Oryzias latipes: one gene and its partners. The protein of the gene in region 1 interacts with the protein of each later gene in a pairwise test. Links are inferred from orthologs where the notes say so. Each region holds a gene or a part of one and is shown on either strand. Other genes may lie near its edges. The genes, in order: gorab, scyl1 and rchy1.

Region 1 (4,183 bases):
CTTTAAGAAGCGTAAAGTTGCGCAGCGCCACCTTGTGTACAGGAGTATTTCTGTTTACATTAAGCGCCATCTAATATCAGGGAATGAAATTGCATGTTTGCTCGGCTCGTCAGCGAAAATCGCCTGGGTGTGAACACAAAAAACGTGTCGAAAAACGCTGGCGAATAACGCCTGGCGAATATTCGTCCCGGTGTGTACGGGCCTTAAGGTTGTTTTTGCCTTTTTTTTGCCCGTTACAGCCGCAGAAAAACTCTTCAGAAATCAGCACAATCGGTTGTTGTATACAAATAAGTGATCTGGTATTTATTATTATTATTATATTAATCAGTGCTATATATTTCAGGCTTCTTAATAAAAATAAATACTCTTCTAAACGTTTGCGTATCATGAAAGGATCAAAACCTTTTACTGCTGAAAGGTGCAGCAGAATACGGAACTGGTTTGAGCAGGAGGCGCACAAAAAAAGGTTTAGTTAAGTTAGCGAGATATTCCCAGATTCCGATTTCCGGGCTCAAAAATTCTTAATAAATGTTAAAAACTGACAGCAAGTGTTTTCTATTGGTTTGTCTTAACGCAAACAACAAAAGAACTGAGAATTAAACAGAGACGACTCCCAAGGGACCATCCACAAGCTCCAGAAAAAGTGATAAAAAAAAAAATCAATAATGTCTCAAAAACAATCAAAACTAAAAAATGACGCCATGGCTAATCATTATCATCATATTTAAGTGTCAAAAACGATTTAAAAAAAGAAAATCTTCATACATTTTTAACAGAAATGAATCACATTTGATAAAAAAATGTTACTAAAACTACAGTCACCACACTTTTACACATGACAATTATCACCTATTTTTTATAGTTAAATATTTGTTTCTAGTTGATAGTTGGACTATTTTGTACTTGATTGGTTACTTTACAGAAGTGCTCTGTTTTAGTGTTCAATGATAGAAGAGCTTTAATAAAATAAAAATGTGGGACAACCTGAATCCGTTTATTAAATTGGTGTATTTATTAAATGTTTCATACAAGTATCTGATTGGGATTCGGTATCGGCAGATACTCAAAATCCAATGACTTGGAATCAGGTCGGGGCCCAATTAATCTGATGGAGACATCCCTAATGTATGTGATGCCCTGAATCGGGAATGTGAAGGTTTGAGGGCAGCAGAAGTGTCCTTTAGGACCTCAGGTGGGTTGTAGGTACCTGGCAGAGCTGTAGTCCCAGCTGGCTTGCTCGATCTTCCCCCTGAGGATGCCGATGTCATTGGACACCATGTCGTCGAGCGCCTGCAGCTCCTTCTGAATCCTCTTTAGCTTCACGGCCTCAGCTTGAGTCTGTTTGGATCTGCAGTAGATGGCGAACAAGCGCAAGTTTGCTTCAGATCATGGCAAATCTTTTTTGTTTTGTTTGACACTAAAATGTTTAAGTGAAATAAACGTTGCTCACTTCTCAGCAATAGTTTTTGCCAGCAGAGCTTTTTTACGTTTGTTCTTCTCTTCGATGAGCTTTTGATCCTGCTGCAGTTGCTCCAGGCGCGTCTTTTCTCGTCTAGAAAAAGACACAAAAAACGTGTCAGAAACTGCAATCAACACAGGAGAAGAGCTGAATCACTATACAAGATAAAATCAATCTCAACGATCCACCGTAAGAGCAATTTCCCTGCATCCTCATTTTCCAAAACATCTGAGGAAGCGTCAAACAGAAAAAACGTGAATATTTTCTAAACGGTTTGTTTAGATTTTTTTTTAAACTGTAAAGAGTGACAATAATTATACAAAAACCCGTAATATTTTTTGCCCTTTGCTATAGAATTGTCCACAAATTTTTCATGAAAGTGTGATCAAGCTGATCAGTGTGAAAAGACTTTATGTAAAAGATGTTGATCTGTGCCAGAAATCTTAGGAGTTCCTCCAGGAATTCTTTATCATCAGATTTCAGCTTTTATTTTGGTAAACTCACATTCGTGTTGGCGGTTAGTGCATTTACCAAAGCCCCTGATCTGCAACATGTAAAGTCCCACTCCGATCATCTTTTGATCTACTGTAAAAGTGTTCCCAGTGGTCTTTTAATTGTGATTATGCTGTTTTTAGCCAAAATCGTGTCGTTTTTTAGGACATAGTTTCTGCAACAGTAGTTCATTAGAAATATGTCTCCGAGTTGTGGCTGCAACAAAAAAAGTTGTCATGTTGGTGCAGGAACAAAAAGTCGTACTAACACTTCTGCCTCCTGTTGCTCCAGCTCTTTGACTGCTGGGGTCTCCTCCTCTGCAGTCACGTGATGGTTCTCATCATGAGGTTGGATTGCAGCGGCTTTATTCGGACCGTCCGGTCTGACGGCAGGAGCAGCAGCAGCAGAAGGTCCTGACCCGGCGGCGGGCTGAACCTCCTCTTTTGGAGGCGGCTGTTGGAGCTTCTGCTCCGCCGGAAGGGCAGCGGTTCCAGCCTGAGTGCTCTTCTGAACGGACAGTTGCAGGAGCCTCTCACGTTGCAGCTGCTGTCGACTCCGGCTGGAGGAAGGCGTCTTCCGAGCGGGGCCGGCTGCTGCGGCTTTGGCCGAGTCTGGGAATGAAATGAATGCCGGTTTGGTGAATGGAGTTCAGGAAGAACCGGCTCTGCCTTCGCCGTATTAATACCGCTACCTTTCTGCTGCATCCTCCGCAGCTCCTCATCGGAGAATCCCGCCCAGCTGCTCATTTTGGATCCTCACACATTAAAGAAGCCAGCGAGGGAGAGAATGTGTAATAAAGTTCGGTAAAAACCCGAAATTCTGACCAAAATTTACAGAAACTCCTGAAGAGTCTGCCATGATTGTTTATGAATGCCACGTCAAGGACCCTAACAGGATTGTCTGGATTTACGACCAGAGATTTGCCTGAACAAAAAAAAAAAGCAACATGTATAAATCTAAACGCAGAGGTGAAACGATGTAATTTCCCTATTCAAATGTATATATAAATTAAAATCAAAATAATTAATGCATTTTAAAATCAAAATACATCAATAATAGTGACCACTAATGAACACAAAAATATGGCAATTTTATCAAAGCCTTTCCTAAATAGCCACCGACCTCCTATTTGTTTTTGTTTTTTTCAATAATTCTTTTAAAGAAAGCCTCGCGGGCATTTTCAAACACCATACTAGTAAAACTAGAAAATAAAAAGGGACTCACGTAAATGACAAATATATTCCAAATTTTGTTTAAGTTTTTCTTTTTTTAATGATTCAATTTTACTTTGGAAAGGGAAGGGGCGTGTCAATATGGACTAAGTTTTGTCTCTCTTCTTGTTTGTGAGAAGATCAATATAGACCTTCAATTAGATTTAAATCAAATGAATGCAAAAACAAGAAAAACTATTTCATGCTTGAATTCACATTCATACAATCGAGTTTTAGAGCAATAAAAAAAAAGTATATTAAGAGATTTACAATCGTAAATTTACAAGAAAAAATCTCGTAAAGGTAATGTGCGTTTAAGAACTTGCTAAACACAGTTGTTGAACGCCCACTTAGGCCTTGGTGTTCACACTGGACAAAGGGAGGGGCTTCTTCTTCTCTTTCCACTGTTTACTAGCTAATGTCCACCACCTGCAGGTGGCAGACATGGCTTGGTGCGAAATTTTGAAGCGGTGAAAATCTGATGAATTTTGCTAAAGGCTTTTTTCTTTCACAGCTCTATTCCGATATATTAAACTTGGTGTCATATGATTCCGTTCAAGCTCAAACCACAATTATTTATTTTTCGTTCATGATCAATTTTCAAACGGTTGGCGCTTCTGTGAAATGAAAGGGACGTCATCCATACATCATTACTTTTCCCAAGAAAATATAGATATTCCTGGACTTAATTTTGTTTTTTATTTTAACTATTAAACCATTTTTTTTCGAGGGGGGTTCTGAAAAGAAGAACTTTTTTTTTTATAGAGACAACAGTCCACAGACAGGCTGTCTATGAGAGGCCATATAAAATATAATACATACTTTTTCATGTTTGTAGTACACAGACAAACAGCCTTGTAGTTGACTGTCTGGCTGGAAACCCTCAGATAAATTCTGCTGCCCTTCAGTGGGATGTTGTCTGTGGTTGGAGCTTTCTTCTTTCAAAACAACCCTGTGCAGGCGATTAACAGTGTCACGTGTCACTACGACAACATAGGGAAGAACCCCAAAAGAGGAGGAA
Region 2 (4,430 bases), on another chromosome or scaffold:
GATCACATGAGAACAAACTTTATTTGAAAGGTTAAATTAGAGCCTCTCAACATACCATTCTATATGTATAACATAAGCTGTCAATAAAGTCACTTAAATGGCATAAGGCAGCTCATGTGACAGTATTTCATCCTCCATCCCTATTAGGCAATTACCTGTAACCCTTCTGTCAATTTGAAAGCAGTGAGAAGAAAAGTGGTTAAGATGAGGCAAAGTTAACCAAGCATTGGTGATTAATTATACTGTTGAGATAAAAACAAAATTCTGACAATGGAAGATGAACTATTGTGCTAGAAGACAAGACAAAACGGAATCAAATGAACTCCAAATGAAGATAAAATGTCAAGGATGAGAAAAGGTAAGCAAAAGGGAGAATATACAAGTGTTTCTTTTGCCTTCTCACAAAAAACCTGACAAAATAAGACGAGACCATTTCTTACTATTAGAAAATGAGTGGATAGCAAACTAGGACATTCAATAAATTCAATATTTTTTCCAGGTAAAAATACTGCTTATAAAATAGATTTGTTTGACTTTTAAATGTGATTTCACTTTTTAAATGTTAATCAAAACATTTGAATTATTAACATTGATGCGGTCTAAAAGTGAATCATTGAAAGAGTTATTCGATGGACATGTTACCCTAGGTAAGGATTTTTTTAAATGGTAAACACAACCACTACAGAGAAACACATCCTATAGCTAAACAAATGACTGAAAAAACAACCCCACAAAGGTTAATAATGTCTAGCAGAAACTGCTTATATTTGACATATTCTTGCATTAGGAGGAACCCAGGGCCAATCACACCAGCATATGGTCTCAAAAGGGGTCTGACAATGCAGTCAGGTAAAGCGTGGACAGCCTTCCAAAGAAATGCCACCTAAAACTATTGACTGTCTGCCAAACCGGACATACTGCAGGCGGCAGAACATTCTCCGTGGCGTCTCCAGGCTCTGTCACATCTGTCACTTGAGTACCGTACACATCTGTGTGGTAACCTTTGTTTACTCTCTGCAGGTCGGTCACTAGGTCCCCCCAAGTATTAATGGGACTTTTGCTCACTATTCTTGTCGTTTTGTATGTCTTCCATTTCCTGATAATTGCTCCCACCAAGCTGCTTACTTGCCTGTTGCAGATTCAGTCTTCACAGCCTGGTGCAGGTCAGCAATTTTGTTTCTGGTGTCCTTGGACAGCTCTTTGGTCTTGGCCAGAGTGGAATTTGGAGTGTGACAGTTTGAGGTTGTGGACAGGTGCCATTGATACAGGTAACGAGTGAAAAACAGAAGGTCCTCTTACAGAAAAAGTTACAGGTCTGTGAGAGACAGGAATCTTGCTTGTTTGTAGGTGACCAAATACTCCACCATAATTTACCAATAAATTCTTTTTAAAAAATCAAACTATGTGATTTCCTGGATTTCCCCACTCATTTTGTTTCTCATAGTTGACGTTTACCTATGATGAAAATTGAAGGCCCCTCTCATCTTTTTAAGTGGGTGAACTTGCACAATTGGTGGCTGACTGAATCCCCCCCCACTGTACAAGACACGACCGACGTCAGCATGCGGAACCAACGCACAGTAACAACGTTTCTTCGGAAGCATTTCCCATCTGCGCTATCCTTAAACCTAGCCGCAGCTTGAAGCTTCCCTCTGCTGTTGTGTGGAGGTAAGGCGAAAATGTGGTCCTTTTTCGCCAGGGATCCAGTCAAAGACTTCGGATATGAAATTCTCCCAGACAGCCCAGAAAGGTCCGGGATTTGGAGTCTACATCGAGGAAAACGGAAGGTGAAAGCGGCTTGACTAATTTTTCGAGAACGAGTTAGCGTTAGCCCCACTGATGCGATGGTGGCCTCTACGAGACACGAATGAAAAATAAGGAAGAATTATAGCGTGCTGCGGGTTTTTAGATGCTATTTGTGTGATATAAGCCATGTGCCTCCCACTCTTGTTCTCAGGTTTTTGTTTTTTGTATATTCTTTTAAGCGGACCTTATTGTTTACACAGACAGTCGCGCATTTCTCGCCACGTCACCCAGTTTTAGCGGAATTAAAACATCTTTTTAATCTGTTAAATTAATATAATAACATCACACATTATGTTGACACGGATTTTTTCTGTGTCGTTTTTAATTAATACAACATAGTGTTAATTTATTGTCAGCAGTTGTGCGATGGTCATCCTTTCAGGAAACAGGATCAGCAGGCGCTCGCGCGTCAACTTCCTCGTCTTAACGTCATCTCGTTTTATGCTGTCATGTTTGACCAAAGAATGTACATAAAGTACCACGTGCGTGGCAGCTGTCAAGCGGATATGGCTTGCTAATAATTTGTTGAACTTGGCTGTCCGGACCTGTTGTCTCAGACCTCTGGAGAGCCCGTGTCCGTGTTCGTGTACGAGGTGTCCCAAGGAACAGAGCAGCAGACGCAGCTCGCCAAGGCGGCCTTCAAACGAATGAAGACTCTGCGGCATCCCAACATTCTGGCTTATGTGGACGGCCTGGAGGTATTCCCTTCAATGGCATGTTCTTGGTTGCTTTTGTTAAGGTGTTCTTTGCCTGTGTTTATCCGTGTACCATCTACTTTTTTCTTCTGCATGCAATGCACATGACTAGATGGAGGTGAGTGAGTGTGAGGAGGTTTGATTATTAGTGTAGTACCACACACACACACACACACACCTATCTAGATGTGATTTAGAGAAACCAATAAAAAGCCGGAAAGATGGTTATAAAAAAAACATTCTGCATAGACTACAATCCCCTTACATTAAAAGTTTTTCATGTCCACTTTATTAGTTTTCATATTGTACAATATTCCTTCTTTGTGTCTGTTGAAACCCAACATAGAGTATGAAACATTTACTGTATATGAGACCTGGACGGAGTATTTCTCCCTGGTGGCGTTCCAAACAGGAAGGACCTGCTCAAACCCCATAGACTTCTATTGAGACATGAACAGCCTTTACTCGATCTTTATATTTGCCAGGTTACATTCTTCTTCAGCCAAGAAGGTGAAACATAAAGAAATAAATGAACCGGACTGGAGGGGATGTGATTCAAGACCCACTCCAATGAAAACTGTGTTTTTAACATGTCAGGACGATGGAGGACATAAATAAATAAATTTAAGGTTAAAATTACATTTCTCAGTATTTCTTTATTCAAATCCCTTTTAATCTGCAGCAGACAATAAACACCTGTTTGAAAAGATTGTATTTGCTACGTAGAAAATACGGTGGGTGGGCCACAAGTTCTCTGCTGCTCCATTCTAATGGATCCACTTGTAGATTAATAGATTCTTATACGTTTTGGTTTTCCTTGTCTGAGCTAGTATCTGGCTCAAAACTGCACGGCTGGACAGCTCCAACATTGCTCACCATTCCTGTTGCATCTTTAATGTCAGGTTGGGGTTGTGAGGGTATGTTGGCTAGCGGAGAGAGTGTAAACAGAGAGCTTGGATGATCCTGTCCACAACTTAGAGGTGAATTTCTAATGAACAACTCCTGCGCTGCAGAAACCAAGGCCCACAACAAAGAGGATGAGAGCTCGGGGTTCACACAAACAGTAGGCAGGCGGATCACCAGAATGGGCGTAACAAAAGCTGCCGCCTTTGCAGAAGCACAACAGTTCTTTTAATCGGTTAAGGATCCATTGTCATGGTCCGACTGCATGGTATCATGTGCGCCAGGCGTAGGAGTCAGGGCCATACACGGTTGCAGCTCCCAGCTTCAATAGATACAGGGAGATGTCTTCACCCCAGCCTCACCTACTTGTGGTTGTTACACCAAGGGCCAGAACAAGAAATGTAGAAAAATATAAAAAAGAAAATTTTTAATTTGTTGAAAACCAAGAACGTGAAAACAAATATTTAAGAATTTTTAGTATCCGCTGTGTTGGTTTTTGCTGTCAATAGGAAGGTAGAGATTTGACGCCTGCAGCTCTGTGTTTTAAGATATATTTTTTCACCTATGTAAGATTAGTTTACTATTATCAATTATTCACAAGCTTCAATCTTGTTTTTAATCCACATTACTGAAGAAAAACCTCGACTCTAATATGGTGAATGTCTGGTAAATGTGTTTCCCAATTTCTCAGTGAGTAGTAAGTCGATTTTTTTTTTTCTTTGTGTTGGTTCTTACAGACAGATAAGAGCCTGTATCTGGTAACTGAGCAGGTCACGCCTCTAGCCGTCCACCTGAAGGCGCAGACAGAAAAAAGTGGTGTTGGGGAGCTGGAAGTGTCCTGGGGTCTGCACCAAATAGTGGTAAGAAAAAGACAACACACCATCAGAAATACATTCTAGCTCAGTTGTAATTTTGCAGTGATTCCTCCCCCTCGTTTCTTCACAGAAAGCACTGAGTTTTCTGGTGAATGACTGCCACCTGCTTCATAATAACATGGGCATATGGGCCATTTTTGTGGACCGGGCT
Region 3 (3,650 bases), on another chromosome or scaffold:
CAGCATTGGTGTACTGTGAGCATCCCTCCATGGGTTCCCTGTCACAGACTAAAAGGCATGCAGATCAGATAAACTGACTTGTCTGCGTCCGTGTGGAAGCGCTCCAACTGACCGGCCAGTGTGTCCTCGACAGCTGCATCCTAGGATCGATTCCAGCCCTGACGAGTGACATCAGGTCCACGAGATAGATGGATTATGGACAAACATTGGCTCAGTCTGCGTTCTGAGCGAGTCAAAAAAATACAGGTGACAGGTGTAGCAACAGAGTGTCACTTTGTATACATTTCCAGAGTGACAGATGTCATCCAGGCTAGTCCTGCTGCTCTGGTTCTCCTTCATCCTGGAGGTTTTGCCCTTCCTGCTGCCACATTAGCCCTCCGTCCTGTGCGGTGTTGTAGGAGCCACAGCCTGTGCACTTCAGCCCCAACACATGGAAAGGGACCGTGCAGTGGGTTTGGCAATCATGACATATCACCTATTAAAATTTAGAAAAAAAAAAGAAAAAAGAATTGACTTAAACATTTCTGCAACTTAGAAAAGTAGACAGAAACTAAATATTTGATTCATTCTGCAGAGAAATAGTTTTGCTCTGGGATGCCACAGAGGCATAGCAGAGAACTTTGAGGCTTTAGTGCCAAAAATAAGCTCTACTTTTTTTTTCAACCTTTGTTTTTTTCTAATTTGTCCATGGAAATAGTTTTGTTTTCTAATTTAGTGAGGGGGTTTCCATAGCCTTACTTGGACTGTGGCATCCTGGTACTCAGAGGGCATCGGTGTCTGAGCAATCTCTTTGTCAAGCAAGTTCCAGTGGTAGTCCAGGTTCCAAGCAGACCGCATGCACAGGGGGCAGCGGTGGACGCTGAAACATGCAGAGCACAGGAAGCCAGGACCCTTTTAAATAACTCAACACCATAGATGTATACAGATGATCAAACTTAGCATCAATCCTAATATTTTACTACTACTAAGACTGTAGATGAAGGAAAAAAAAACATCTTTCCTCACAAGCAGCTAATATTTTTGATTAATGAGCAGAAGACTAGATTAGTGAACACAGCTAAAATTGTCTTTAAAAAATGTACATACAGAAGCCTTAAAATAAGCAATAGCACTAGATTTGATTAAGAATACACAGAAACAGACAATATTTTATGAGAAATGTAAAAAAATAAAAATCATATGTTCATTTTTGGCAATACATTTTAACTGGTTGATTTGTGCTACTTGATTATATGACGGTGAACACATCAGTGTCTCTGCAACATACTTCTCCATATAGACTCTCAGCATAGCGGTCCATTTGCAGCTTAAAGAAACAACCCTTTAACATTTTTTTTTACACCACAGACTAGCTTCATGTCAGACAATATTTGTTTGTGGTAAACTCTAAGGTGCGCAAGAGAAATATAACAAAAATAAAATGATAACCTAGAAAGCAGTATTTTCTAAATGTAATAAAAGTTCACTGTGTTTTAAACTTTTTAAGCAGCATCCTTATAACAGAGAGGCGATCGTCGAGTATTATGCAGAACAAGTTTACATGTATTGGAACAACTGTGGTAATAAATCCACATTTTGCGTAGAAATCCTGTTTTCTGTCTGTTAAACTTTCTTCTCCCTTAAAGTCATATACTATTCTTTATGAAGACGCTCGTTTTTGTCTACCTTGCTAGCTTGGGGGTGTGAGTTTATCAATGATGTTGATTGTGTGGTACTAGCAGCACCTTGAATAGAAGGTTGATTTATGTAAGACACGAGTGAGGACAGCATCCTGACATGCATCAAGAGAATCTCCAAAATAAAACATTCGTTAGAATCCGATTATAAAGAAAATAGAAATAATGTGAATTATTTATTCTCTCTGGGATCCAGTAGCAGTCGACCCACAGACCAGTGCTGGTGTCTGTCATCATGACCACTGCTGTAAATCGCCCCCCTCCCTCACAACTTTTACACATGCTTCCCTGTAGCAACCGGTGTTACAAAATGTCCCGGTGTTGTGCCAAAATCATCTGCTTGCCAAGCATGACATCAGCATTGCTCAACAACTTACATGTAATGACAATAAAAGTTCAATTCAGAATGAGCACACGCAGCAAAAGCAACAACCAAAAGCCAGTGTTTGCATTAGAAAACAGCTGAACAAAGTAAGGCTGTCTTTGGTTGATTAATTAACACTTTTAGAGTTTTTTGTTAAATAGAGCATTTCTGGAAATGAACTACCTTTTTTTTTTGCTTAGAGTCCGTGCAATTTGTAATCGCTCTCAATTGTTAAATTATGTCTATTGAATACAAAACGGTTTAATGTTGGACATTGTTAAAAGACAATATATGCATGAATATCTGCTGACTGGACATCAGCAATAATGAATACTGTGCATTAGGGGTACAGATCACTAGCCACGTTTTGGCACATGCGTGTGCCACGGATCCCGTGATTATTTTCAAGATGCAAAGTCTCAAAGCATGTTTGTTTTTTTATGGGCGTCTTTTACATAAAGGAATATCTTGCAGGGCTCCAGACTGCGACCAATTGGTCGCATTTTGCGACCAAAATTTGAGATTGTGCGACTGAATTTTACATCCAGTCGCACATGTGCTACCAGTAAATTTGCCTCCCCCACCCTCCATTTTTTTATACATCAAACGTAGAAGGGGCACGTCAATGATCAATGAAATAATCAATGAGACGCGAGCGCACACGCACGCAGGCAGACCTACACACTCGCGCACATACTCATTAAAACGCGAGCACACACTCGCGTTTCATTGAGTGATTCCTGTCTGTGAGTCGGCCACTGCGTGTGAAAAGAAAGGGAAAGCCACTTACAGTGGCTAAAATGCGTGGAGGGGGCGGGGCCTAGAGATAATCGAGCGCGCGTAAACATCTGTGGGAAGGAAACAGACAAATATCATCACAACCTGATATGTGCGTCTGAGCTATGAGTAAGTGAACTATTGATTCATTCTTCCGACCTGCGGCTAGTGTACAAGTGACAGGGGTCTCAAATTCGCGGCCCGCGGGCTATTTGCGCTCTCCAAGATGATATTTTGCGCCTTAGTATGAAAGTTTAATGTTACTGCAGCCCGCCAGTTTGTATGAATGACACTTTTTCATCGTCGTGCACGGAGATGTCCAACCAATCACAGTGGAATAAATGACTCTTGAGGGTTCCTTACTTTCCTTTTTAGAACGTATCTATTCGCTCGTAATTTTCTAAATACATGCAGTCCGTGCTGAACTTTTCTCTGGGTCACACAGACCCGTAGTAAGGTTTAGGTTTTGGTTACGGCGGCGCATCTTACGGGTTACGGCAGCACACCGCTCCCGTCCCGCGGGAGTCGGGTCAGCTGAGGAGAATAAATGTCCCTCACGTACATGCGTGACAGCTAACGGGGCTTGAACTTTAAACACGCTCGAGCAAAAACAACATTAGTTTTAGACACACTGAAAATACGTGGTGAAAATGCAACGATAGACGTGTTTGAGATGAACCGGCACCTCGCCTGGATTGTTGGGGAGACCAGGCGGGGGGGGGGGGGGGGGGGGGGGGGGGTCTGTGAGATGAAGGTGAATCTGCAGCAAGACTGAAGGACAACAGTTGGAGTTGTCCTTAACATTCAATTTAGTTTTAATATTCTTCTCCCCC

The links.
Region 2: the proteins of gorab (region 1) and scyl1 interact in a two-hybrid assay, tested with the Homo sapiens proteins (2 studies listed by BioGRID and IntAct). The link is inferred for Oryzias latipes from reciprocal best matches to the Homo sapiens genes GORAB and SCYL1.
Region 3: the proteins of gorab (region 1) and rchy1 interact in a two-hybrid assay, tested with the Homo sapiens proteins (3 studies listed by BioGRID and IntAct). The link is inferred for Oryzias latipes from reciprocal best matches to the Homo sapiens genes GORAB and RCHY1.

Annotation. Positions count from the first base shown.
Region 1 is NC_019862.2:23,368,731-23,372,913, forward strand, and holds the start of gorab (RAB6-interacting golgin), read right to left. Parts: upstream 2,873-4,183; 5' UTR 2,698-2,872; coding exon 2,643-2,697; intron 2,563-2,642; coding exon 2,220-2,562; intron 1,553-2,219; coding exon 1,451-1,552; intron 1,349-1,450; coding exon 1,208-1,348; intron 1-1,207.
Region 2 is NC_019868.2:12,321,663-12,326,092, forward strand, and holds the start of scyl1 (N-terminal kinase-like protein), read left to right. Parts: upstream 1-1,549; 5' UTR 1,550-1,679; coding exon 1,680-1,787; intron 1,788-2,363; coding exon 2,364-2,504; intron 2,505-4,141; coding exon 4,142-4,264; intron 4,265-4,349; coding exon 4,350-4,430. UniProt on the Homo sapiens protein: Regulates COPI-mediated retrograde protein traffic at the interface between the Golgi apparatus and the endoplasmic reticulum. Involved in the maintenance of the Golgi apparatus morphology.
Region 3 is NC_019867.2:25,260,675-25,264,324, reverse strand, and holds part of rchy1 (RING finger and CHY zinc finger domain-containing protein 1), read right to left. Parts: intron 860-3,650; coding exon 739-859; intron 476-738; coding exon 311-475; 3' UTR 1-310. UniProt on the Homo sapiens protein: E3 ubiquitin-protein ligase that mediates ubiquitination of target proteins, including p53/TP53, TP73, HDAC1 and CDKN1B. Mediates ubiquitination and degradation of p53/TP53; preferentially acts on tetrameric p53/TP53.